Linked DNA regions of Coturnix japonica. The protein of the gene in region 3 purifies or fractionates together with the protein of the main gene of each other region. This does not show direct contact. Links are inferred from orthologs where the notes say so. Each region holds a gene or a part of one and is shown on either strand. Other genes may lie near its edges. The genes, in order: EEF2K, HNRNPA3, FBXW11, FAM120A, RBX1, KIF20A and HNRNPA2B1.

Region 1 (3,980 bases), on a different chromosome or scaffold from region 3:
TGCATTATTTTAACAGCCCAGATAACTGCAGTCAGTGGAGCAGAAGATGGTTTGATTTGCATTATTTTAACAATCCAGATAACTGCAGTCAGTGAAGCAGAAGAGTTGAAGCACACTTCCAAAAACGCTGTGGGGAGAATAGAGCCTTTCACCATTGGAGCTGGGCACAGGGCTGCAGCCAGCGCCATGGTCCTAAAGTTCATCCTCTGCCTCGTGCAGGTCAGGCAGCAGCTAGAATTACAGCTGGGCTATTTCCATCACATGGAGGTTCAATGAAAAAATGCTGTCCTGGAGCTTGTGCTTAACAAAAAGAGACAGCTCAGAAACCTCAGCTTTTTAGTAACTCCCTGGACTGCAGGGGAACAGAACAGGGAAGGTTTGGTTACCCCTGGGGCCAAAGTGAACTAAGCAAAATGAAAGTTTAAAAGATAAAAAAATAGAATCATATATGCAACAACAGCAGAGCACTAAGTCCAGGAGGTGACATTCTTGGTATATTTTGATAAGGCCTTCTGACATATGAAGCAGCGTTAGAGACCACAGGCAGTTCCACAACAGAACCAGAGGAGCCGCCCTGCAGCACCTTCCCACACAGCCCTTCCACATTACTGCCATTGCTCAGTGGGAGCACTCGGGATCTACAGCTCCACTGGTGCAACAGGCACGTAATGCAAAGAAGGTGTGGTGAATCATAAGGGTGTTTTTTCCTGGCGCTCAGGTTCCACCCCAGCCATCTCAGCACAGCGCTGTGCCCAGCAGCTGCAGTTCTGCAGCACAGAACCTTGTGTGGAAGGGCTCAATTCCATCCATCACCTGCAGCACACGCTGCCAGGCAGCCACACTCACGTGCTGGTACAGGAAATCTGCTTCCCAGGGCATACGATGCCCAGGCTTTGCACTGCTTCCCTTCACCCCAGGCTCTAGGTGTCCTCAATACAAGTGCCTTCACTCCTGCTCAATTCCACTCATCCTACCAGGCATTTATCCACAGGGCTATGTTGAGATACTAAGGACAACATGAACAGCCAGACTAATGCCAGCTGCTTCCAAGCACAGGGCAAAGAAGCCTTACAAAAAAGCCTGAGCTCCATTCCAAGGCTTACACCCTGCACTGCTGCATTACAGCACAAATCCAAACCACGCAGCAGCTGTTACTGCTGCTGTGCTCCTGTTGTTCAGCCTCTGGTGTCCACGGCAGGAGCTTTCCTCGGGATAAGCAGCAAAGAAGAGCACAACGACCCACTTTTCCTATAAAAATCAGCCTTGTGCTACATAATTAAAGAAGAAAACGTCAAATACAAACAGTTATTAAATCCAATCACATCCCTACTAATTTCAGGCTTTTTCCAACGTTTGTCTCAATTATTTTTTCCTTTCTCTCACCATTACAACCAAGAGTCACAGCACCAGCACCGGGAGGTGAGCAGCAAGGACAACACTTGATGTGATCAAACACAGTGCACGTGTACAACCAGAGGGGAAAATTCACATCAGAGCGCTGCCAAAACACTGCTTAGTTCTGCAGGGCAGCTGCTGTGATGGAGCAGCTGGTACAGCACAATCCCTGAGTGACACCCCAGCAGCTCATGGACGTGCTGTAACTCAGCCCAAAGACCTGAGGGCTGCAGACAGCGGGAGGGCATCGGGCAGCACAGCACAGGCTGCATCGGGCAGCACAGCACAGGCTGCATCGGGCAGCACAGCACGGGCTGGCAATCGGGCCAGCACAGCACGGGCGCATCGGGCAGCACCAGCACAGGCTGCATCGGCAGACAGCACAGGCTGCATGGGCAAGCAGACAAGGCTGCATCGGGCAGCAACAGCACAGGCTGCATCGCGGCGAGCACAGCACGGGCTGCATTGGGCAGCACGGCACGGGCTGCATCGGGCAGCACAGCACAGGCTGCATCGGGCAGCACAGCACAGGCTGCATCGGGCAGCACAGCACGGGCTGCATTGGGCAGCACGGCACGGGCTGCATCGGGCAAGCGCCCAGCAGCCCGCAGCCATTCCCTCCTTCCCACCGATGACAAACGGGTTCAGCCGGTCGATCTGAGCGCCCCAAGGAGGCAGCGCCAGCCAAGGAGCCCGCGGGGACGGGCAGAGCAGTTGCTCGCCATGGGACTCACGAACGCCCTTCCGCTGCCACGAACCGCTGCTGTTTCATTGGGCTCCACGTTCTGGGCTGAACAACCCCGAGGAAACAACCGCGCCGCGTTCAGGGATTCCCGGCGGAATGGCCGCCGTTCCGAATGGCCGCCGCTCCCCACAGCTCCCGCCCTGACGGCCCCGCCACACGAAGCACTTACCGGGACCGCGGAGCCTCAACGGACCGACCCGGCCGCGCCCGGAGCCGCCTGTGGAGCGGGGCAGGGCCGGGCAGAGCGGGGCAGGGCTGCGTTGGATCCCGCCCCCCGCGCTGACCGAGCCGCCCCGTGGCGCCCTGAGGGTTGTACAGGGAGGAGCTGCCCGCGGGTTGTTGGTGTGTGTGTGACACAGCGCGCCCCGATCTCAGGCTGGAGGCGGCGGCGCTGCCCGGCCCGCAGGGAACGAACGATCCGCGCTGCGCTCGGTTCCCCGTAAGAAACACGACAACGTGCACCGGGTTCCAATGCAAACACTCACAGCCGCTCATTGCTCCATTCGTGAAGCACGGCCGCAGCTCAGCTTCTTCCTCGAGGCAGCAGCTGTGAAAACATTGAACCAACTCCTTTTCCTTGTATGTGTTAGATGGGAATTAATGTCAGTAGATGCTGGGTTAATAAAAACATGTATTAAGATTACGGTGAGGTTCCGGCCCACACAACACCCATCTCCGCTCGGTTCCCCCCGCACTGAGGCGCAGCATTGCGTCCCAACAGCTGCCGTGTCCCAGCTCGGGCCGGGCCCAGCGCCGCGTGCAGCCGCCGGGCAGCGGGCGCCACCTCACGGTGCGCGGGGCCGGGACGAGGCGGAGCGTTCGGCAGCACCGACCCGCTGCGACGGAGGGCGGGGACACCCAGCCTGCAGCGCTGCCCAACGGCAGGAGCGGAGCGGACACACGGTGCCGCGTCCGAGCACGGAACGGCGGGAAGAGCCGCGATCCGCGGGCAGCAGAGCGGCTCCGCCCGCTGAAAGGGGCCTCGCGGGCCGCACAACCACCAGGCGGTAGCGTGGCCGAGTGGTCTAAGGCGCTGGATTTAGGCTCCAGTCTCTTCGGGGGCGTGGGTTCGAATCCCACCGCTGCCAACAAGTTTTGTCCCGCCGCGGCAGCGGCTCCTTTTCGCGGCCGGCAGCTCCCGGCTCCCCCAGCTGATGGCACCGCCCGGCACCGCGCCCCGCACCGCCGCCCTGTAACCGCGGGACGCAGCCGGGGACACACACGCGTCCGCCCGCCCCGCCGGCTGCGGCCCCCGCTCCGCCCCGCCTCCCTCCCGCCCACTCCCGCTGCTCTCCCGGCTGCTCCCCCCCCGCGCCCCGGGGCAGGGATGGCGGTCGGGAGGCACCGCACGGAGCTACACGTTCCCTTTTATTTTCCTTCATACGCAGCGACACGAGCAGTTCACAAAGGAAATTCACACCACCTGAGCTCTGTGCAGCCCCCAGGTGTGATTCACAGCCGTGAGCGGTCGGTCCTCGTGCTTCCCCCGCTGTCCCTCAGCTCCCCGCAGCCCCGAGCTGCTGCCCTGACTCCCTGCCCCGCTTTCGTCCATCGATAACACTGCGGGCTGTGCCCTGTGCTCCCTTTGCAGCTCCTCGGTCAGTTCGGCGGTCAGTTTGGAAAGATGTGTGACTGAAACGTGTCTCGGTGACGGACTTTGGCTGTAATTACTTACAGTGTTGGTGCTGTTTACGTTTATTCTGTATTTAATTTAAACTAAATGTGTTGCACTGGAGCCTCTCAGCGTTGCGGAGCTGGGGATGTTCCGTGGAGCAGTTGTGCAGAGGGTGCACACAGTCTGTGCGAGTCAGTGCTGTGTCTCCTTAAAAAAGTGCAAAAC
Region 2 (3,500 bases), on a different chromosome or scaffold from region 3:
TTCCACATCACAAACAACAGCTAAGCTACCCCACCCACCTACAAAGCGGTCACTTACACACTTCATCTCTTAAAAGGTTGCATACAGATCTTGTTCATAAAGTTTATTATGACACTATTTTTCAAAGTTAACATTGTTGTCACAGTACAGCTACAAGAGGCCCTGTTAAAAAGAACACTGTCAATACATTCTAAAACTTTTAGAAATACCATATCCATTTTCAGAAGGGACATCAACCCCATTCTCCAGTTGTCCCTGCAACCAGATGCAGGCCCCAGTTACAAATCTACACGACTTCTAGGTGTAGCAACGTACAAAGCAAGTCAGCAGTTGGGTGGCTCACTCCCTAGTGAGATGTTTTAGTTGTTAATGTGTTTTCAAACTCCAAGTGGGTTGGTTAAAAAAATGCCTTTATTGAAATACAACCTTCCCCCACCCACCCTCCCCACAAGCCCAAATTACGTACAACAACAAAATGTTCACTGCATCAGCAATTCTTGCTTTTAAGTTAGAGATAGTTTAAAACTCCACAGAAAAGAATAAGCAGACTTTGATATCCAGTTTGGAGGCTAACATCTTTGACAGTGATTCCTTGTTTTAGTGTACTGCAGTCTAAATACACTCAATAACAGTGTTCAAATAACATTGTTTAATTATTTTTTTTTTCCAAGCAACACACTCATTTTGCTAATAACTTCTTAAAATTATATTATTAATATGACTGATTATGCCTTGAGCCATTTCATACATCTTTGCAGATTCATTCCTACACTGGAATCGCATTTACCTTATACTGCACATTGACCCAGAAGTGAAACAGGTGTAATTTCCAATATCACATATTGTCAAGTGTCTGAACATTTCTTCTATTGACTGTGTCCCTACTCTTCTGAGTCTCAATTGTCAGAAAGCACTGTCCTGGCAATAGTTGAGAGAGAAGTGACATCAGCTGAGAAAAGCAGAGATTGTAGTGCCTTAATTTGGAGTTCAGAAATGAGAATTGAGTACAATTTCTAGCCAGATGTGCTGATAAGATTTGCTACTCCAGTGCATCAAATCAAACTGTAAAATACTATCATTCTACCTCCTGTGGTCAGGTAAAATATAACTAGATTGTGTTTTGTTTCATCCTCAAGCTCTTACCTGAGCTTAGATATTCGTAAGGGAAAAAGCTCTATGCTACTTAGAGCCCATCGTGAATGGGCTTTTGGAACGCCATTACCTGGGACTGTCAGTGATTACACCTGTGCTACCCTTGGCTCCCAGTCAGATGAATGTGTCCAGAAAATTGCCTAGGGTGCATGCAAGAAAGTATATAGCCATTAAGTTATTTAGGAACATACCTATTACTCTCACTATGATGCCTCATTTAATCGAAACAGCACAGTCTGGTGTGAGGGAGAGGGGAAAGGGGAGAAAGGAAGGGGATGAAAATTCCAAGCCACCCTCCCCAAAGTATAGTTTTATTGAAACAGAATCATTGTATATCCCAAGGAAACAGGCACTTGATTCCCACCCCACCTTAACTTCTCGGGAATTACAATAAATAAAAAGGTAAAAAGCAAGTTTCTTTTTCTCTTCACCCAGAACTTCAGCAACTGCAGTTATCCCTTATACATCTCAGATGAGACTGGACACAGCTTGAATGTGACTAAAGTTGGTCTTGTTAAAATATTTATCATGCCTTATTTTCTTGAAGCGCTACTACTAATACAGAACTACAAATTAAAAAAATATGCACAAACCAAAAAGTAATTTGAAATTTTCATTTGAAGGTAAAGCTTAGTTCTATAATTCACAAACACTAATTTGAGTAACTCAATCCTAGTTATACATCTAAACAAACTATAATGCAACATACAGATGTTCTCCCTCTGTATGCCTATGTAACTCTTATCAATGACAGTTACATATATACACTGAGACTAGACCCCTTAAGACTGCAAATCAATAGGTGTTTCTATTGTTAACTTTAAATTAATACAAAATAGTAATTGAGAAATGCATTAATCTTCTCTACTAACAAGGAAACACCCTAAACTACATTTTATTTCTGTTATAGAGTTCTCTGTACCAAATGTGGAAGAACTGAACTACACAAATATTGAAAAGTTAAAAATTCCTTAATTTGTTTATTCCTGGTACCACTACCACAATTTACAGGGCAATATACCTGATGTAATGGGAAAATAAAAAGAAAAAAGAAAGACAAAGCTACAACAGATAAAGACCTCAGGAATGTACATCTAATCGACACTACATTGCATTAATCAATAGCTGCACTTTTTGCAAACTGTGGCTATGACAGTCCTGAACAAGAAGGGTTTCCTGTTTAAGCTGCAGTAACTTTTCTGACTATGGATCATCGCTCCTTCTGTGGCAGATTTTACAGTTCCTCTAATGCATTTGGGACGACTGTCTCAAAGTAACCTGCAGCTTTCCTGACAACTCCTCGCTCTCTCTCCTGCTAAGAACTGTAGCCTGTTGAATACAGGATAAGAAAATTATTACTCTCAGTGAACAGTTGTACATTATTCATCATCATTATAAATATTCATTACACTTACCCTTTTTCTGGTAGCATTTTTAGAATCTTCTACCACCATAGCCCCCACTTCCACTTCCAGATCCATAACCACCTGCACAAAAAACAAAACCCAGCGCATATTGAAACATAAGTGATACCAAGGAAATGTAAACAAAGGGGTTTTTTTTTGGTACAGAAATATATTTACCACCGTAGGGACTGCCTGAACTTCTACCACCAAAGCTGCCACCACCCTTCATGGGACCATAATTGGACTGCTGCTGTCCACTGTAGTTACCAAAGTCATTGTAGTTTCCACTGCCACCGTAATTACCTGAAATAAATTCACAAAGTTCGTGAAACTGAGACATTCGGTGTAAACTAGCAAAAAGTAAAGTAAAGCTACTTGTAAAGTAGCAATTTGAAATTAACATGGAAGGCCAAAGTTAATGCCTCCCAACTCAAAAAAAACTCTGCTTTCACCATCATTCTTCCACTATTCAGTGCTCTGTACGTGACATAAACTACAAGCCAAAAGCAATTTTTATTTGCTGTAACAAGTGATAAAACTGTAATGAGCACATAGATACACCAGAAGGTATTGGTAAGCGTGCAGTAGATTTTGCTGCTTAACCTCCTAAACTCACACTGGGTCCTTGCATGTTCTTACTGCTTCTTCCCCCCAAAATTCTACTAAAGAACCTAGCATGTTTTAGTGTTTGTGGTACATCCTGACAAGAAACACATCATTAAAGGCCTCTACTGAAGTGATCATAGATTCAGAAATTAATCATATCATTTCAAAGCTCCTGCAAAGATATCAATGCTGGCAACACAGAGTAAGAATACGGCTGAACTGATAACAGGACACATCTAGACTTTCATTTAATGCCTTCCACGCCATCAAGGGTTTACCCTTGCTAATGCTGTAAAACAGCCATGTAGTAATGTGGTTCCTGGTTATTTCAAAAGG
Region 3 (3,500 bases):
AAAGACTGGCTGGCAATAACGGTCCACACCAGGGGTTCCATCTTACATAACATTTCACATTCAACACTGCTGCTAACCCAGTTTTTGTACACATCATGGCTTCACCTAGGACACACTGCTCAAATCCTCAAATTAATTAATTAATTATACATACCACTAACGTACGCAAGCATAATGTACTTGCTGGGGCACGGGGGTCAAGAGCAGCTTGCAAGTCCCAAACTTTAATTTTGCTATAAAGAAAGATAAGAAGGTTAAAAGCATTGTTTCAAGTGTAAGCACAGAAACTTCTAAAAGCAATGGACAGAATATTCCAGATCTTCCCTCCAGCTGATTTATCAGCATCGAGCAAAATGTTATAATTTATCTTCACTAATTTACTAAAGCTGAATCCCATAAAACACGGGCAGTTTTGTATTTCTTTTAAGCAGCAAATACAGTGATGTCTTTGTGATGGCCCAAGTGGGTTGTTTATACTCAAGACCAACTAACTACATTTGTATACACAAGTCAGTTTGGAACCTTTTGAAATAGCTCTTAGAAACATACCCATCATAGGCTCCACTAACAATCCTCTTATTGTCGAACCTGATGCATCGGACCAGTTCTTCATGGCCTTCTAATACCCTTAAACAGGCACCACATTCAATGTCCCATAACCTTAAAAGAACAGAAGAAAGCCTGAGCATTTCAGGTTCAAGGCTATCCCTTTACCTTACACACAGTGATTTCAGCATACTACTGAATGGGTTCCTGCAGAAAATACCACAATTTGCAAAAAAGAGCAGCTGGTAGAACTAGATTTTCCTTGTATGCAATTCAGAGAAAACTGCATTGCAGCTGCAGTACATAAAAACTAATCTAGACATTCAAAATTACATTAAGTAAAGGTTGTACACTTGCTAGATTATTTTAAGAAACCTTAACATACTTTTCTGTCCTGCATAAATCAGTAATTACTAAAGGTTCAGAAAGCATGAAAACCAGTGACCAATGTCTCCATCTCTCAAGTAGAAAACAAGGTCATAAACTACAGGAATAGAGGGTTTTGTTTCCCTCCATCTGAACCTCACAGTCTCACTTTTTCACATGGATGTGACATATTAACTAGTTGAACAGCATCTGCTTCAATGGCAAGATATACTGAAAATGGTTTGCATGAGTTATCATGTGTAAATGTACATAGATACATACTGACAGCCTGCTGGCACCCACCTAATGGTATTGTCAGAAGATCCACTGACAACCAGTCGATCCCTGTACTGCAGGCATGCGATGCCACGCTTGTGCCCATTTAGCGTACGAACAAACTCGCACGTACTTGTACTCCAGACCTACGAAACATGAGAATCATGCTCAATAAAGGTTTCTGACTTCCAACAGAAGCTGTTACAAACTCATAAGCAGAAGCCTGAGGCTGACTTCTGCTGGACAGCAGAATGAAATCTTCCATAGTGTTTTTGCAGGTAAAGAGGAGGCACGTGGTGTAAGTGGAGGATGGCATTACAGAGCCTAGCAATGACAAGAGACATCAGCTCTGCTATTGTACATAGTGTCAATGAGAAAGACTGGGAGGTTGGAAGTAGAGGGCATACGTAAAATATTTTCAAGTAGCAGGTGATACTGGTCCAAACGACCTTGAAAGGCTGATGACACTTAAATCTTGGTAAGTTAGTAATCCTTTAAAAGAGAGGATGTTACCTCATATGCAAAAATAAGCTGTATTTTTTTACCAAATTAACTGCTAGCAATCTGCTTCTAAGAGAAGACCAAAGCCACGGCCTATTAAAGCCTGTGGCTGCTTCTTCTTTTAATGTTTTTGATGAAATTTGTTCATTTTTTAATGAACTGTTATTGAAGTTGTAACATAAAGGGCTCATGTAAAGTAGCTCCTTTTCCAAAAGAAGTGCAGTGGGTTTCTTGGCAGATATTCAGACATGGAACTGCCAAGAGCTTTTTGGCACATTCCAGGGTAGCTCTGGTGGTAGAGAAGGAAGGGTGGAAACGCTTTTGTTATATTGATACACTTTGGGTAACTCAAATTTTCTGGTATGTAAATTTTTCAAAATACAGCATTTTAATTCTTTAAACACAGCAAAGTCTGGTTTAGCTGGGAAGGTGTGGAATGGAAAAGCAACTGCTGATAAATTTCATGTCTGGAACAGGACTGCCAATTGAAATAAAAAAACTGACGTTTGGAAAAAGGCACAAAATGTGCCACATTTAACAAACAAATCCAACTTGAGATTAGAGTAGGCTTTACTTTTTTGGAGCTGTACAACAGTTACAACAAAAACGTTACAAGACTTGTTATGAGCAAGAAGACATTAACAACTAGTAGGAGGAAGCAGCCAGCTGAATGCTAAGGAGAAAGGCACAGAACTGTTTACAAAAACCTTGGCTACTCCAATTTGAATTGTAACTTTCAGAAGCTTTTCTGGCTTAGTAGGCATTCAGACCCACAGGAGAGTTCAGCCAACTTACTTTAATGGTCCTGTCACCTGATGCTGACACAATATACTTGTCATCGAAGTCTACCACGTTAACAGCAGCACGATGGCCAACCAAGACACGGCGCAGGGTGATGTCAGTAGGTGATGCCATATCCCAGACAGCAATGGATCTGTCCTTTGAGCATGTCACCATTAAGCCATTACTGAACCTCAAATGAAGCACTGCTTCATTGTGGTGAATCAACGTGTTCAGAACTTCACCTGTATTTACATCCCAAACCCTGCAAAAGAAAAGAATTTTATCCCAAATGAAGGAACTACATTATGCATATTTGAAGTCTTGTGTTTGTTGCTCCACATACAAAACCTCCTTTCATTATAGGTCATAACTAAAGTATGTCAGAAGGTGATGTAAGAAACCTAAATGAGGTATTCACCATGTATTTGATGCATCAGCCATTCTACTTCATGTTGTGCTTTGAATGATACGGGTCACATTCCTTCACAATGCTTAACACCACAAAGCATGAGACAGACTGGGGAAAAAATGACTGAACATGATGCTTTCCCACGTGCAAACACCTTATTTTTGGAATAGTGGTATCACACTCACACGAGGGATGTTTTCTGATATTTGAAGATTATTACAAATATTCCCAACCCCAATTTCACTTTTTTTTAGGTTTTTTTTTTTGCCCCAAAACTTAACACTCACCTCACTGTAGAATCTGAAGATCCAGTTACAATGACCCTTTCATCATACTGCAGACAAAGAACTGAGCCAGTATGTCCTGTTAATACTTTCAAACACTCCAAGCTTGTTTTGTCCCAAATCTGTCAAAAAAATAAAAATAAAATCTATAAACATCTTGCCAAGAACACGGGTTCAAAAAACTTGAATACTGCTGCTACTTAGAGGAAATGAAGAAACCTGGACACAGCAGCAAGAACCCTTGGCTGCATGTCCAGACAGCAACTTTTGTCCTCTCTTCTAACTTGGGGAGTCTCCTTGATGGAAGCTTTTGGCATTACAGCAAAACAACCAAG
Region 4 (3,500 bases), on a different chromosome or scaffold from region 3:
TATTCACGCTGCCTAAAAACACCAGTTGGAAGGTTTGGTGCAAGGATCTGAAACAGTACTGGGGGGGGATTCAGTGTGAAAAATAACATTAAGAGAAGGCCTGGCCAAACAACTGCAACTGGGGATTGTGTAAGTAATGTTGCTTTAGATGCGGGTAAAGCATTTTATGCTTTCTTTTTCAGAAACAAAACATGAAAAGACCTTCCAGCTCTCTTAAAATAGCAGCAATGTTCTGTATTTTCAGTATATGTGCATCCAACTATGCTCAGTTTTTCTTGGAAAACTACTCATTCCTATTGGTAAAGGTGTCAAGAATCAATACCTTTAAAAGCTTACTCAACATTCTCTTTTTTTCTGGCATCAGTGACCTCAACAAGAAACTTCTCTTAAGAACAAACCTCATCCTTTTCACCATCAATGTGGCTTCCTTTAGTGTTGTTCTTACATTGATGATATTCCCAAATAAACTCTCCAGTAAAGGGATGAGATACAGGGAAGCACTACAGCACTCTGTATGCTCAAAAGCCTTTATAATCAACATAAGCCAGATAAAATGCATAAACTGGTGGAAGCTGTAAACAGCTGTAGGTGTATATTTACACAGAAGTTACTAGCATGCTTCGACCTTTTTGTATCACTTTAGGTTACATAAAGATCTCTATTTTATCTGCACTATTAGATATATGGTTGAATTACTACAAAAAAGAGTTTATCTTGTATACAGACAACACTAAGTTAGCTATAAAGGATGTGTGAAAAGTTTCTCTATATGTTTAACAACAGCATAACACAGAACATCTTTGTGTGCCAATTTCTAAAGCATCTCAAAACCGTTCAAGGAGGAACCTGTCAACATTTTTTCTGGCACACTTGAGGTCCGCCAGTGAAATATTAAAAAACATTTCAGGTAGTAGATGAATAAAACCAAAAAGCAGTACTGATTCATTTGATTTATATTGTGACAGTCTCTAGATTCATTTCTTTTTTCTGCTAGGAGAAAATTCCCAACATTCAGGTGTTTAATTAGTTTCTTCTCATTTTGAGACAGGAAACGTCCAGCAGTATTTAAATGTACTAAGAGTTTACGGCTATACAAACTCTGAAACAGAGCTGCAATGGTCTTCACAGTTCCCTTGTTGCACTTTTCTTTGATAAACATGGGAAGTACAAGAACATGACAGCAATAGAAGGAAACCCAAACCTTTCCTTCTGTGCATTTCAAATTCCAGTCTACTGTCCTTATTGGCCTGAAATGGATTTTTTAAGACTAATGCAAATGACCAGCAGTGTGGACAGTGCCCTTCTGCTGTACAAGTATGTACAGTGAATGGGCCAGACGTACAGGAACCGGTACTAAATGCTTCGAACACTACAGTGGAAGAGGATTCATTGTTTTCTTCTGGGACTCTTCTGTTTGCACTCAGAAGGAACAATGAGGAGAACTCATCTCTTTTGGAACTCAAGTAAGTCAAACACAGGGCTGTGCAGAACACAGCTGCTCCACTGCTGTGATTCCTTCCACTACTTACTTTGGCAAGAAGCTGTCCCATTGCTTTTCAAGATGTTCCTATGTGGCCACGGATTTAAGACTTTTTTCTTCTTCCCACCCCCCCCAAACCCAACATACTGCAGAGAAAGCGGCCTAAGCTGTGTGGAAGTGCTTGCAGCTTACCTGGGATCTCAAGAATTGTACATAAAATAAATCAGTGACCAAAGAACTCATAGCATCATCAAGTTCTACAATTGCATTTTATGATTCAACAAAAGGGATTTATCACAGATGCTGTGTCTTTATTGGGGTTGGCTACTAAGGACAGGAAGGATTATATTATGAGGGAAAACAATCTAATTACTGTTTAATACTGAAACACCAAAGCACATGTCACACTCTAGAAATGGGCAATTAATACATACACACACGCACAAACATGGGTATGTAAAAGTATCAAAATAAAATACTAAAGTCAAAAGAAGTTGGTTTGTTTGTCTTTTTAAAATAAACAGTAGTAACAGTCACCTCATACCTACAGCAACAATATGTCAGCCCAGATCAGTGGTTAAAAATCAAGTGAAAAAAGTGCTAGAAACACTAAAATCAGACCAAAACTCAAAACTTAAAACAGGATGTAAAAGTACAAAATTATTTAGCCAGATACATAAGTGCAATTATCTTTACCAAAAGGTTATTTTATAGCACATAGTTTTAAAATGTCATACCTTGGTTAGGACATGAAAGATGTAGGGATACATTAACCCCTTCTTGTGCCTGTGTTCTGCCACTCTTAATACTTCAGGTGCTACTGGAGGTAATGGAGGGGTAGTAATATCCATGTGGTTTCTGGTGGGCATTGACAACAGGCATGGGATCTGTGGATTACTGGTTTGATTCCCTTTGACATCGGCTGCCTGACTTCCTGAAGAAGCACTAGAGGAACCTTCTGCCTATAACAGAACACACAACATCAAGCGCTTTTTAATGCATACAGAAGATCAGCCAATGGGGAAATAGTATTTTAAGAGTACATTTAAGCACACAATAAAAGAGGACGTTACTATAAGACTATATTTTGGAGTTGGTAGACCAGACTTTCAATTTAGGAAAGTGATAGTATATAGAATAAATGGTTAAAGCTTGTGGTACAGAATGCATTGTAGTGTGTACTCAAGAGATGGAACTGCCTTCTGCTACTGAGGGCTGAAGAAGTGGTTTGATATTCAAGAAAAGCATGTAAGTAAAACAAATTAAATTGGTTGCACTCAAGTCGGACTGCATGCATACATCTCCGGGAAAGTTGAATCACTGCTTACACAGCCCTAATTCTGCATGTACAAAGAGGCAGGCAGCTGTGCCCTGCAGCACGTCCCACCCGGCCATCACCCAGCTGGGGGAGCAGTGCCCTGCCAGCCGCCCCCATATCTGCTCTGCAGGGCAGCACTGTGCACATAGGGCTGCAGCCTGGGTGTGCCGGGCTCTGTGCATGGCCATGGCACAGACAAGAAAGGAATGCAATAGGTCACATTAGCATTTGCATATGGTGACTAATCCACAGGCAGATACAGTTATCGTGCGGGGCGTAGTCTGCAAAAATAATAAGCACCGATGGATGAAATCATCAGCTTGATATTTTAAGCACGAAGCCAAAATTTACTGGAATTTCTATACGAAAGGTACAGGGAAAATGCTTTGTTCTTCCACAGCACAAGTTATTTAGGATTGTTTTCTTCTTTGCTTTGATTTATTTAATTGTTTTTGAAACAAAAGCAATGGCTGGAGCACAGCTCCATCACAAAAATGCACAAGTACTGCATGCAAATGATCACAACATTCTAAGAACAGCTCAAAGTCATGAAACAGATCATCACGCTTTTCATTTGACAATGATTTTGTATCTGGAAGAAAATAAATAAATCAGATAATGTTAAGTCTTTAATAATGGTTTAATCATCCCACCTTCACTTAATTAAATAGCAATACATTGTAGCTAGTCCCATGGAGTTAT
Region 5 (4,046 bases), on a different chromosome or scaffold from region 3:
TTGCACAAAGAAAATCTAAATACATTCTGGGCCCTTTCAGAAATGAACAAAAACCACTGAAAATCTACTCATCCCTTCTATGTGCCGAACATGAGCCATAGTGAGGGCCAGGGGAATCCTTTGTCCTTAGTATTAGCAGCCAAGTCGTAATGTATGTGCATTAGCAAGACTGCACGAAACCTTAACATTGTTATATCCTAACTTTTGGATGCTCGACTTCATAATGTTAACAATCTTCCATTAGCGTGGCTGGTGTTACTTATCACCATTGTAATGTTTTCCCTTTTAAGGTTTCTCCTCATCAGTGGGAGAGGGAGACATTCCTGCCCTGCACTTTATCAAACTGAATCTTGTGTTGTTCTTCCCTGCACAATCTAGTAATTTTTTCTCTATTTCCCATCACTTCACATCTTCGGTTTGAAAATCTAATTAAGATGTTGCTTAACATCATTAATGATCGTTAACAAGGAAGTAAGTAAATCCAGAGCCAAGGCTGAACTCAGAACACCAATTTAGATACCGCTTCTACTCTGTATACTGTCAATTTTGGTCCATCATTTGCAGTTTGGGCTTTTGATAGCATTGATTATGCCCTAACTAATAAGGTGTTATGCTTGAGCAACTCAAAAAGCAAAACAAAACAAAAACTAAGTTACCTGTGCTCTCTTCCTTTGAAGTTCTTCCTAACACGTCTATATTCTTTCAATTCCACCCAACCTCAATTCTTAACTGTAAAGCACTATGTCAGAGGTCCTCAGCACATGTCACAACCACTCCTCTCACCTGCTTGCCTTTAGTGCTACCATTCCTCTTCTAATGATCAAGAATAAAGTGAGCGATGGACAGGCAGCAGCTGGCTCAAAATAGAACACATCTGACTCAAAGCAAAGAAGTCAGCTTGCTTAATCCCCTTTCAGCCCTGCATGGTACACTGCACAGCCTCTTTTTCTTTTCCCCTGCTCTTTTATATTATCACATTGGCTCACTAACAGTAAGTTACCATCAGCTGTACTTGCAAGGGCTACTAAGAAGAAAGTGAAACAAAGCGACCACAAAGAAATCATGACTAGCCCTTGTCAGGTACTGAAGGTCTTGCTTTTTGAGGTACCACAATCCTCCCATTTTAGTAGTACAGGTGACTTCCTATCTGGGGGATGTTAAAAGGTGTTCTGTATCTTATCATTGAAAGAACATGGACAGTTACGGTGCCAACCATATATTGCCAAAGATTTGAGGGGAAAAAAAAATGGCTCTGTTCTTATTGCCAATCCTCAATTAGACCAAAGCCGGTGACTTTATATATGGATACCTATTTCACAGTAGAATTTTTTATACTTACTCCTACTACCACTTTGTTTTCCTAAATAGTAAGTGTATTTGTTAACAGGACTGTTGGGACCATACAGGGGGGAAAAAAAAGGTGAATTAGTACTAGCAATGCTTGGTGTTGGTTTAGGCATTAGATTATTCTCTTCATAGATAACAAACGGATTCTCTAGCTGGCCACAGAATTCCCCACACTATAACCCTAATTTAGGCAAAGTAGCTTTGGCAGAATGAGGAGTCAAAAATTCAGTGGCCTGAATCTTTTCTGGTCAGTCAGACACAGAAAGCAGAACTTGAGCACTACATAGAACAGAGTTTATAGTGTTACCGAAAGACTTCATTCTGAACTGAAAACCAGATTTGCTGAAATGCACCCTGAGCAGTGGAAATTTCAACTGTGAATCTTGTACATGTCAAAACTGTAAGCACGCTTCCCCATCATTTACTTACATAGATCCATAATATGGTTTCTGCAGATGGCACAGTTATCAACCACAATGTCCCACGCCCACAGAGCTACTGCATTCCACTAGAGTGAGGGGGGAAAAAAGAGAAACATAAATTTTATTCAACATATAACACATGGAAATCCTCATTATTCCTCAAGATCCTCTTTCTTTCTGAAATGATAAGGTTAGGATATTAAAAGACACACACCTTACAGCACCAGAGTAATTCTTTCTCAGATACCTCTCACACTCAGTGCCTCCTTCCAGTCTCAGAAACAATTGATACTAGTCCCACTCTCTTTTTTTTGCCATACAAATGCAAACATCTGCATTTCAATTCATAATCTGGAGGCAAGAATGCATCTCACGCCACATCCTCAGTTTGGAACTTCTCTTGTTTGTAGCTGTTTTCCCAGTAATCATCCCTCAGAGCAGCTGGGGCCAACAACCAGAATCACCTCTAACTTTGCCCCTCAGCGACTCCTGAATCATTTTCATTGCAAAAAATATACAATATCAAAAGTGCTCCCACAAAGTGCTCCTAACCACCTCCGGGCCTCGTTGAAGTGAACTTGGGATCTTTCACCACCATTCAGCTCGCAGCCACACTGGAGAGGGTAGGTCAAAGAGGGATATTATGGTTGTTAGGCCAAAGAGGGATATTATGGTTGTTTGGGGGAAGCAAAGCAAACCGGGATGACAAGACAGCATTTGTTGGTCACCTACGAGTTGATTTGTGAAGAATACAAAAAGAAGCAGCCACACAAATGCGTGCAAAGCTCCCTTCACATCACGTAGGGCCACTAAGACAACTGAGCCAAAGCAGCCGGGACTGAGGAGGCAACAGCAGCGCACCGACTCGCCCCTAAGCCCGGCATTACCCTCGGCTCTGGGCGGCGGGGCCCAGCCAGAACTAGCCCCGCCTCGCCTCTCTCCCTCCTCCTCCCCGCGTGGTCGCGCCCTCTGATTGGCCAACCTCCGTTCCACGCGCGGAGACCCGTCTCACCCATTGGCCCCGACACACGCCAATAGACTCCGCAAGCACCGCCCCCCCCTCCCCTCATACGGCGGTGCCGGTGCGGAAGCAACGCCCGGCTCCGTGAGGGGGCGCGGAAAGCGGCTCAGCGCCCCGACCCGCTCGCGGCCACCTGGCCGCTCCCGACCTCCCTCCTCCCGCTGGGACCGGCCGGGTAGAGCGCGCCACGCCAGCAGGTCTCACTTTCTTCACTTCGAAGCGCTTCTTGCCGGCGCCGCTGTTGGTGCCGCTGGGGGTGTCCACATCCATCGCAGCCGCCATTTTGGATGCGTGAATAGGCCGTTCCGCTCTGTGCGCATGCGCGGCGGAAGGGGCCGCAGGGAGGTGTGAGCGGAAGGTGTAGGCGGGGCTTCCGCCAGGGCCTGCCCTTACCCCCCCCCCCCCCCCCCCACACACACCCCTCCGTCCCCGGCAGAGCCTTTTTAAGGGAGGAGGTTGCCTTGCTCTTCAGCCCTTGCTCCCTTCCCAGCCCCTCAGGTGGGCTGAGCTGAGCTGCATATCCTTTGTACCATATCAGCCTCAGTGCTACCCCAGTGGTGTGGGATGTCTCTGGGGCGCTCAGGATGCACTCAGGAATGAAAATGTTCTGAAAGAAAGCAGGAATTCATGTGCTCCGAAACACTTTTTAGAGCAATACTTTATTGTACAGAGGTTATAAAAATGAAGTGCATTTTATAACTCCTTAAAGAACTGTAGGGCTGGCTGGCTGCCCTCCATTGCTGATGCCACTAAAAGTAATTGATTTGGCTAAGTTTGCCTTTGCTGTTGTGAGTGTCCAGACAGACAGCATCACAAATGGTACCTCATTTACCGTCTTTCCACATTGCCACAAAACTTCTCAGAGTTCATGAATATCATGGAACTTCAATACTCTGTAGCATCCCCAGCTGATCTGGAGTGCTCAGAGAAAATTTGAATTCTAAGAACAGAGCCAGAGGGGTAGATTAAGCAATATATCCCATAGTTTTTTGGCCCAGATCATGGTTGGTTTCTGCATGAACCCAATCCCTCTGCCTCTGTGTGTTTTCTAGATGATGGTCACATTATATTCCCATGTAGTGCCATTGTTTTTTCAATCTGTTACTAAAACCTCAGGTGAGAAATGAAGCCTCCCGCTCCCCATAATCTGACTAAGATGAACAGATGAGATTCAGAGAGAGGAACGAGTTGCAGCATTTCATGGGATGGTGACTAATTGCTGCTCTTTCTTTCTCATGGTATTGCACCTCAAGCTG
Region 6 (2,852 bases), about 2.0 Mb from region 3:
CAGTGACTCCTTCAGGTTATTCAGTTTATCCTCATACAGTTCCTCCAGCATTTCCTTCTGTTCATCAATGTGTTGGCTACAAGGAAAGCAAACAACTATCTGCATCTGGATCTGGTAGCCTTTGATACCATAGCACACCCTAAACACAGGTTTTAAATCAGCCTCAGCTGTACCTCCACCATTGCTCCTTCTGCTGCATTCTCTCCTGCATCTCATTGCAGATCTCTGTACGGAGACGTATTTCTAGTTGTAGCTTCTCCTGCCTCTCCTGCACCAGCAGTTCTCGCGCAGCTTCCACTACATGCAACAAGTCCTGGAAGACAGAATCTCCCTTGCCCACATTGCACAGCACAATTACGACCTAAAGAAAACAAACTAGCTGATCCTGGATCTGTAAGACTGGGGTAATCTAGGTTTAGGATGGTTTTAGTCACTTGGAAAAATAAGCTGGTAGGCTTCTTCCCAGTTCCCTTCCCATGAGGTGGTTTAAAAACCACTCCAACTGGAGCTATCACCATAAGCAGCTTGCTATACTGCACTGCTCAAGGCTGCACATGCCTTTAATACCCTGATATGTTACAACTCAAATCTCAGTATTTCTTCCACCCCCCTCTTATCTTCCAGCTATTCCAGCTTCCCACTCGGAGTATCCAGAAAATCTGATTATTTTTCCTCAGTTTAGCCAACTGATTTAGTAATTCTCCAATCAAGATTTCCCTTATAGAGGAGAGATTATGGGTCTGCACCTGAGCTCTTACTGTCCTTGGTCCACAAATGGACAAGTGCTCTTAAGCACTCTTAAGCTTCAGATTTTGAGCAGCTATGGATGGAATATCTTCCAAAGATCCCTACTTTACAGTGTTCTAAGATCACATCTTTGAGGCTTTCTGTCATCGTTGCACTGAGTTCCAGGCCCCACCTTCCAGGTTAACGGTTAGACATATTCTTGATTTTCTATCAGTAAAAGTTGTAAAATAAATCACAACCCACCTCTCTCTCATAAACAGAGACATCTGCTTCATCTTCACTGTCCGTTTTCACTTCTTCCATCTCTGTAGCCTCTGTACCCTGGCTGGTTCGCCTGCTGTGCTCCTTGATAATTGACTGTATGGATGGAAGTCCCAGCTTCATGGGAGGGGCCTGAACAAGCTGAAAGGGAAAAGGCTATAATTACTGGTCCACAAAGGCTGGAGGGCTACTTAGCCTTTAAACATGGCACTTCACAGCATGCTGTCAAACTTTTCAGTTTAGCAGAGTTTGGAATTACTGTGGAGTTAACAATACACTGCAAAAACACAGGGAAGGAGTGCGTGCATTCTGAGGGAAAGGGACCCATTCCCATAGGAAGAAGCACCCTGAGCACATCACAACATTACTAAGTGTTACATACCTGACTGGCAATGGCTGAGAACTTGGCTACATACAGAGTTTCATCATATGTAGATGCACATTGATTAATGTTGACAATCATACAAGATCGCCCACGTCCAGTAAAAAAACCCTGGAACACACGGGTTAGCTTGCTGTCCCGGAAAGGAACCACAATCTGCTTCACCCTATGGGAAGAGACGACAGTGAGCCCATGGGAAAAGCAAGACAGCCTTCCCTACAACTTCCCCCCTCTGAAGTTCCAGATACTCACTTGGATTGCTGTTTCTGACGGAGGGCAGTGATGCAGCGACCCAAAGTATGGAGTGAAGTATTGATGTTGTTTGCTTCCTTCATTCGGTCCCCACTTATCTGGTCTTTGCAGCGCTCTGATCCCGCAAGGTCACACAGAGATAGCCTGAAAAAAACAGAGATGCTATCACCTGACCCACAAGACCTTCCTTAAGATACTTCCCAGATCCACAGCAACAGTTTAAAAAAGTCCACAGAATACCCACAAATCCTAGAAAGCATGAAACTCACTCGCTGATTTTGGGAACAATCTCACTGCCACCTCCTTGCAAATGTAGAATCCGAATGGAGAAGATACTGTGACTGTAAAAGAAGCACACAGGCATTTAAAAAGGGGAGAAAAAAAAAAAAAGAGACGTAATATTGAAAAGATTCTCAGAACTTTATATCTAAGAAATGTCCCCTCCCACTCCAGACCTGCGACTGGAGTTCTGATTCATGTGGGTGCTGGCAAAACTCTGGTTCTTCCGACCCAGTTTCAGGAGCCTCCAGGCTTCATCAGCATCACGGACATTGATCCAGTTCAGATCTGGAAAAGCAGGCATGCATTGGGCATGGCAGTTAGGAGATCGTAGCGTTTCCCTAACATTAATAAGCTTCACATCCTCTTTATCCAGGCATCTGAAGGGCCAGAGGACATTGTGCTCCCCAGCATATCACTGCTAAGCCACCCACTCCATCCTTAAGTCTCCCTCAGGTGAGATCCACCTAGAGGCCCACTATAAACATCTTTCAGGTAAATACCTTTCACGTAGGGGTTGCCAGTCTGGTCTTCACAGAGCCGCAGTGTCTGCCTCTTGCGGTTCTGACCAGGGAGGGCTGGTTCTAACAAGTCATAGATTAACTCATTGTAAATCTCAAAGAAAGAGACCCAGATGGAGAACTGCACATCTGCCGTGGTGCTGAGTGAAATACGATCCAGGTCAGCCCAGCGAGGGCCCGATTCTGGGGAAGAAAAGAAAATAAATCATGGCTGCAGTCTTTCAAAGGTCAGACCCGAGTAGTTCAGGAATAGACTGAAATGTAGTAACACCACCCCAGACTCAAAGCTATTCTAAATACCTCCTGCTATTTGGACATACGCAACTACCTTTGTCCAATTATACAGTATTAAATTCCCTGTGACAGCATCTTTACATGCAAGGACTGCCTATATACTTGATCTCAAGAAG
Region 7 (4,215 bases), on a different chromosome or scaffold from region 3:
AATGCATGACAATTAAAAGGAAGTTGACGTTACTCAAAGAAAGGCATCCCAATACAACATGGTCCTTGTTCCAACCCCCATGTATTCACGGCATAGAACATTTACAGGATGGATTAAATCCAGGACAAGAAGCAGCTTACTGCTTTGTCCGGCATAACCCAGTAACACACCTTTACCTAGTCGGGATATATAGTAACGAAGTGGTAGATGGGGGGGAAAAAAGGTTTTTCCAAGGCCTTCTAAGGCACGGAGACGTTTGTAGGGAAAAGGGGGAGGACCATCAGGGATGCTTATTTCCTTCAACCCAACAGAACAGGAGCTCAGATTCCAGCAGTTAACTCAAATATAGCTTTAGACGTGTTAACTGTGGATCCGGCGGGGAGCAGCTCCACGTCTGGAGTGTAACAGAGCACCCACCGCTTTCCAAACTGCGAATATTTCTTTTAATACACAACGCTGCCCTCCGATTCTCAAGTTTGAACGAATTAAAGGCCCTGCACCGACGTGAGCTCGGCTAAGCTGCACACGCTACGTTTAACCTAAGCAAGCGAGTCCAACACCATCCATCCCCTTCACCACCACACCTCTCACACCGACCACCTCTTTAAGCACGTTATCATCCCTGCCCCGTTCCAACTACAAAACTTCGGATCGCACACAGGCCCGAGCACGGCACAGCACACGGCCCTGCAGGGCCCGAGGGCTCAGCCCCCCGCTAGGGGGGGGGGTGGGGGGAGCGCGGCGGAAAGGGCCGAGCGGGAGAGCTCCTCGCGTCCCCATCGGAAAGAGAAAGGGGAAAGAAACCACAAGAACGATCCCGATACCCCCCACCCCCAACCCATAAGGAACGGAGCCCCGCGGGCCGCCGGGAGGGAAGGAGGAAAGGAGGGAGGGAAGGAGGAGGAAGGGGGGGCATCGCCTCGCCATGCCCGCCACCCCCCGCCCCGCCACGTTTCCCCGCCGCGGAGGCCGCTCCGGGCGCTGGCGGGCGGCTTTGTCTGCCCGGCCCGGCCCCGCCGCCCACCCGCCCTCCCTCCTCCCTTCCTCCTCCCTTCCTTCCTTCCTTCCCGCGGGGCCCTCCCGCCATGCCCACTCCTCCCGCGGCCGCCGCGCTATAGGGGTTGGTGGTGGTGGGGGGGGGGGGGGAAAATCGGCCGCACCCCGCGCTCCATCCCCGCGGATGTCGGCGGGGAGTAAACGTGGGAGCGGGGAGTGCCGCCGAGACGAGGAAAGAAGGGGAAAAAGAAGGATACAGACTTCAGTGCCGCTCGGCCGCGCCGCTCCCCCGTCTCCTCCCGGCTCTCGCCCTGCGCGCTCTGAGCGGCGGCGGCAGCGGCGGCATCCGAGGGGCTGAGGGGGGAGGGGAGGGGGCGGGGAGCGGCGCGGGGCGGGACGGGCGGTGCGGGGCGGGTTGGGCCGAGCTGAGCGCGCCGGCGGCTGACGGGGCAGAGCGAACGACGCCGCCTACGCGCCAGCCGCAACCTCCTCCCGTCGTCGCCGCCAGCACAGGAGGGGGCCAAGACGTCTGTCCCACGGGGGGCGAGCGCAGGACCGCGCCAGGCGTCCAAAAGGAGGAAGATGCCTCGCGGAGACAGAGAAAGCGACTGGGTGAGGGAGGCCGGCGGGACGCGGGAGGCAGCCGCCATCATGGCCGCCACCGCCAGGGAGGGAAGGAGGGAGAGGGCCCGGGGAAAGGCCTTTATTGGCGGTTAATGGAGAGCAGAGCGGGGCTGCAGGGGGACAGAAAGCGGGAGCCCCGGTGCCGTGTCGCTGCTGCAGGGCGGCAGCACCCAGCAGCACTCGGCAGCACTCACCCTTTCTCGCCGCGTGTGAGAGGAAAGGGGAGGGCGGGAGGGAGGCGAGCGCTGCGTGGCTGCCGGCGGAACGAGGCCGGGCCCAGCGCTGTCCGCCGGGCACAGCTCCAGGTCAGCGCTGCCTCCCGCCTGGGCCGAGGGTGGAGGGGGAGCAGCTGCGTTGTGTTGTACCGCGCTCCCGCCCGCCGAGGGTGGTGGGGTGCGGGGCCGCTGCGGCTAATTATAACCCCGCACTACGGGCTGCAGCGATCGGCAATTTCCGGAGAGAGGGAAAAAAAAAGAAGGAGCGCTGTGCCAGCGACGCTCGGGCCGCTTCGGGTCTGCTCGGGCCTTTTCGGATCTGTTCGGGCACCTATGAGAGAGCCCTTCCGCTGTCGGAAATTGCCGAGTGGGTTGGGGGAGTCGGTGAGCTCTGCGTCTTTTTTTTCCGGAAATTGCCGAACTTGAGCCGATCGCCTGTTTCGTCGGTGTCGGCTGATTCCGGAAATCGCCGAAGCGAGCCGAACGGGCTGGCGTTCCTCTTTCGGCTGTTTCCGGCGGCTGGCGAAGCGGATAAGCTCGGGCGAGGACGAGTCGTTCGGCTCATTTCGGAGACGGCCATTAGTAACGGCGTCGATGAGTTTTTATTAGGTGCCAAAAACAGAGGGGTATCGCACGGAGCCGCAGCCCCTCGGGACCGATTTAGGCTCTAAAATCCGAGCTATTTTTTTAATTAAAGCCCGGAGGTGCGGCCGGGTAGAGCAGGAGGAGGAGGAGGAGGAGGAGGGCGCTCGTAGTGCGCGGAGCTGAATTTCAAATTACGTAAGAGCTGCGGCAGCCATTGCTGAGGGCCGAGCGCTGCGCCGGGCAGGGGCTGCCACCATGAAGAACATGGTACGTGCGGGGAGCGCTGCGGAGCTCGGTTTATAAGGGTGTAGTGCTCTCTGTGTTCTCGTAGGTTGTGTTTTTGTGGAGCTGAGGGTTACCAGAGCTGCTGCGGCTGTTGGGCCGCTGTGCGCGGGGGAGGGAGGGAGGGAGGGCAGCGGCGGGGGAGGAAGGTTCTGGAAGCGGTGCTCGGTGCTGGGTTGTTGAGGGGCGGCGGGTGCTGCTGTTCAAGCAGGGGCGGGTTGTGTCTCTCTAGGTGGCTCTGAGTTGGGTTGTTCTCTAGGCACAACGATGGAGAGCGGTGGGAGCGCGGCCCGGGGCGCGCCGTTGCCGGTAATGGCGGCAGGAGGGGGAGGGGGAAAATGGCGGCGCCGAGAGCGGCGGGGGAGGGAGGAGCGGGAGCGGGGGAGGGAGGGAGGCTGCAAACCGATCCGTGCGTGTGGCGGAGCGGCAGCTGGATCCTGCGCTGCGCTCAGGGCTCGCCCGGCGCTGCTGGGCGCTCGGCGGGGATCGCTTTCCCGCCCTGCAGGCGGCGGCTCCGGGCGCCATTTTGCTCCCTGGCTGCGGGGCTGCTCTGCTGAGAGCCGCCACATGGCGGAGCCTCCCCGCTCTGTCCATGGGCGGCGGGGCGGGCTGAAGGAGGAGCAGCGCCGTGCTGGGCTTCCCGCCTGGCTCCTGGTTGAAGATCCTGGGGAGCTGCTAAGATGGGCTGCGTTGCTTTTTCTTCTGGTTTCTGTATTGAGAGCCAGGATTGCGTTTTCGTCAAATATCAATAAGGACTGTAGTTAAAGTAGTTTATGATGGTGCACGTTGTAACTGCAGTGTAATGCAGTTAACACAGGTAGCTGGGCCCTGGCCGGGGTTGTGGTTAGAGACGTGCAACTAACGCGTGTAAGGCAGTGCCTGCTTTTGGAGCCCGTGGGGCAGCATTTAGGATATTGTATGGTGTTCTTCATTCGTGTAGTGATAGGGACATATTGCCATATCCTGGCCTGTGCGTATGCCTAACTTTTGCTTTGGCCAGGGCACATACAGGTCTGGCAGTATATGGTTGATGAGTGATGTGTGAACTTGAAGCTGTTCTGTTTATCTGCGACGTCTGGTACATGTTTGCTCTTTAAAAGCAAATGCAGTTATTATGGATAGCCTGGCTTCCAACATGGAGCTTTATTCAAGTCTTGAATGCAACATCCTTTCCCCTATTCTGTTCAAAAGATTCTATGAAGTGAAGCTTTATAGAATAAGGGTTTGTATTTTTTCCCATCTGTACAATGATGCATTTACTACTAATCCTTGTGCTGCTGGATCCGAGATAATTTTGACAGATATTCCAGGGTATATCCCCATGTACTTCACAATAAATGATATCTGTTATAGAATCAGATAGTATGAATGGATTCTTGTTCCTTGGTGTGAGGATGCTTTGTTTGGAGCTCTGTTCTTTTTCAAATGCAGTCATAAAAAGTTTTATATTAACCTACTCTTCTCTGTGATAGAGGGAAAAGGAGCAGTTGAGAAAGCTGTTCATTGGAGGTCT

The links.
Region 1: the proteins of FBXW11 (region 3) and EEF2K purify together in Homo sapiens (affinity purification with mass spectrometry; 7 studies listed by BioGRID and IntAct, with this or other methods). This does not show direct contact. The link is inferred for Coturnix japonica from reciprocal best matches to the Homo sapiens genes FBXW11 and EEF2K.
Region 2: the proteins of FBXW11 (region 3) and HNRNPA3 purify together in Homo sapiens (affinity purification with mass spectrometry; 3 studies listed by BioGRID and IntAct, with this or other methods). This does not show direct contact. The link is inferred for Coturnix japonica from reciprocal best matches to the Homo sapiens genes FBXW11 and HNRNPA3.
Region 4: the proteins of FBXW11 (region 3) and FAM120A purify together in Homo sapiens (affinity purification with mass spectrometry; 3 studies listed by BioGRID and IntAct, with this or other methods). This does not show direct contact. The link is inferred for Coturnix japonica from reciprocal best matches to the Homo sapiens genes FBXW11 and FAM120A.
Region 5: the proteins of FBXW11 (region 3) and RBX1 purify together in Homo sapiens (affinity purification with western blotting; 4 studies listed by BioGRID, with this or other methods). This does not show direct contact. The link is inferred for Coturnix japonica from reciprocal best matches to the Homo sapiens genes FBXW11 and RBX1.
Region 6: the proteins of FBXW11 (region 3) and KIF20A purify together in Homo sapiens (affinity purification with mass spectrometry; 3 studies listed by BioGRID and IntAct, with this or other methods). This does not show direct contact. The link is inferred for Coturnix japonica from reciprocal best matches to the Homo sapiens genes FBXW11 and KIF20A.
Region 7: the proteins of FBXW11 (region 3) and HNRNPA2B1 purify together in Homo sapiens (affinity purification with mass spectrometry; 3 studies listed by BioGRID and IntAct, with this or other methods). This does not show direct contact. The link is inferred for Coturnix japonica from reciprocal best matches to the Homo sapiens genes FBXW11 and HNRNPA2B1.

What each region holds. Positions count from the first base shown.
Region 1 is NC_029529.1:8,304,339-8,308,318, reverse strand, and holds the start of EEF2K (eukaryotic elongation factor 2 kinase), read right to left. Parts: upstream 2,801-3,980; 5' UTR 2,636-2,800; coding exon 2,626-2,635; intron 2,439-2,625; exon of another isoform or gene 2,310-2,438; intron 1-2,309. Other genes in the region: putative short-chain dehydrogenase/reductase family 42E member 2, read right to left, coding at 3,948-3,980. UniProt on the Homo sapiens protein: Threonine kinase that regulates protein synthesis by controlling the rate of peptide chain elongation.
Region 2 is NC_029522.1:14,084,638-14,088,137, forward strand, and holds part of HNRNPA3 (heterogeneous nuclear ribonucleoprotein A3), read right to left. Parts: intron 2,862-3,500; coding exon 2,736-2,861; intron 2,640-2,735; coding exon 2,587-2,639; 3' UTR 2,568-2,586; intron 2,482-2,567; exon of another isoform or gene 89-2,481; intron 1-88. UniProt on the Homo sapiens protein: Plays a role in cytoplasmic trafficking of RNA. Binds to the cis-acting response element, A2RE. May be involved in pre-mRNA splicing.
Region 3 is NC_029528.1:13,892,016-13,895,515, forward strand, and holds part of FBXW11 (F-box/WD repeat-containing protein 11), read right to left. Parts: intron 3,288-3,500; coding exon 3,169-3,287; intron 2,735-3,168; coding exon 2,485-2,734; intron 1,335-2,484; coding exon 1,216-1,334; intron 661-1,215; coding exon 550-660; intron 234-549; coding exon 155-233; intron 1-154.
Region 4 is NC_029527.1:4,466,889-4,470,388, forward strand, and holds part of FAM120A (constitutive coactivator of PPAR-gamma-like protein 1), read right to left. Parts: intron 2,443-3,500; coding exon 2,218-2,442; intron 1-2,217. UniProt on the Homo sapiens protein: Component of the oxidative stress-induced survival signaling. May regulate the activation of SRC family protein kinases. May act as a scaffolding protein enabling SRC family protein kinases to phosphorylate and activate PI3-kinase.
Region 5 is NC_029516.1:45,482,598-45,486,643, forward strand, and holds the start of RBX1 (E3 ubiquitin-protein ligase RBX1), read right to left. Parts: upstream 2,801-4,046; 5' UTR 2,786-2,800; coding exon 2,657-2,785; intron 1,856-2,656; coding exon 1,777-1,855; intron 1-1,776. UniProt on the Homo sapiens protein: E3 ubiquitin ligase component of multiple cullin-RING-based E3 ubiquitin-protein ligase (CRLs) complexes which mediate the ubiquitination and subsequent proteasomal degradation of target proteins, including proteins involved in cell cycle progression, signal transduction, transcription and transcription-coupled nucleotide excision repair.
Region 6 is NC_029528.1:11,874,609-11,877,460, forward strand, and holds part of KIF20A (kinesin-like protein KIF20A), read right to left. Parts: intron 2,626-2,852; coding exon 2,425-2,625; intron 2,210-2,424; coding exon 2,098-2,209; intron 1,984-2,097; coding exon 1,912-1,983; intron 1,787-1,911; coding exon 1,643-1,786; intron 1,557-1,642; coding exon 1,391-1,556; intron 1,150-1,390; coding exon 991-1,149; intron 314-990; coding exon 174-313; intron 77-173; coding exon 1-76. UniProt on the Homo sapiens protein: Mitotic kinesin required for chromosome passenger complex (CPC)-mediated cytokinesis. Following phosphorylation by PLK1, involved in recruitment of PLK1 to the central spindle. Interacts with guanosine triphosphate (GTP)-bound forms of RAB6A and RAB6B.
Region 7 is NC_029517.1:29,451,844-29,456,058, reverse strand, and holds the start of HNRNPA2B1 (heterogeneous nuclear ribonucleoproteins A2/B1), read left to right. Parts: upstream 1-1,415; 5' UTR 1,416-1,578; coding exon 1,579-1,608; intron 1,609-1,814; exon of another isoform or gene 1,815-2,035; intron 2,036-2,298; exon of another isoform or gene 2,299-2,675; coding exon of another isoform or gene 2,676-2,687; intron 2,688-4,174; coding exon 4,175-4,215. UniProt on the Homo sapiens protein: Heterogeneous nuclear ribonucleoprotein (hnRNP) that associates with nascent pre-mRNAs, packaging them into hnRNP particles.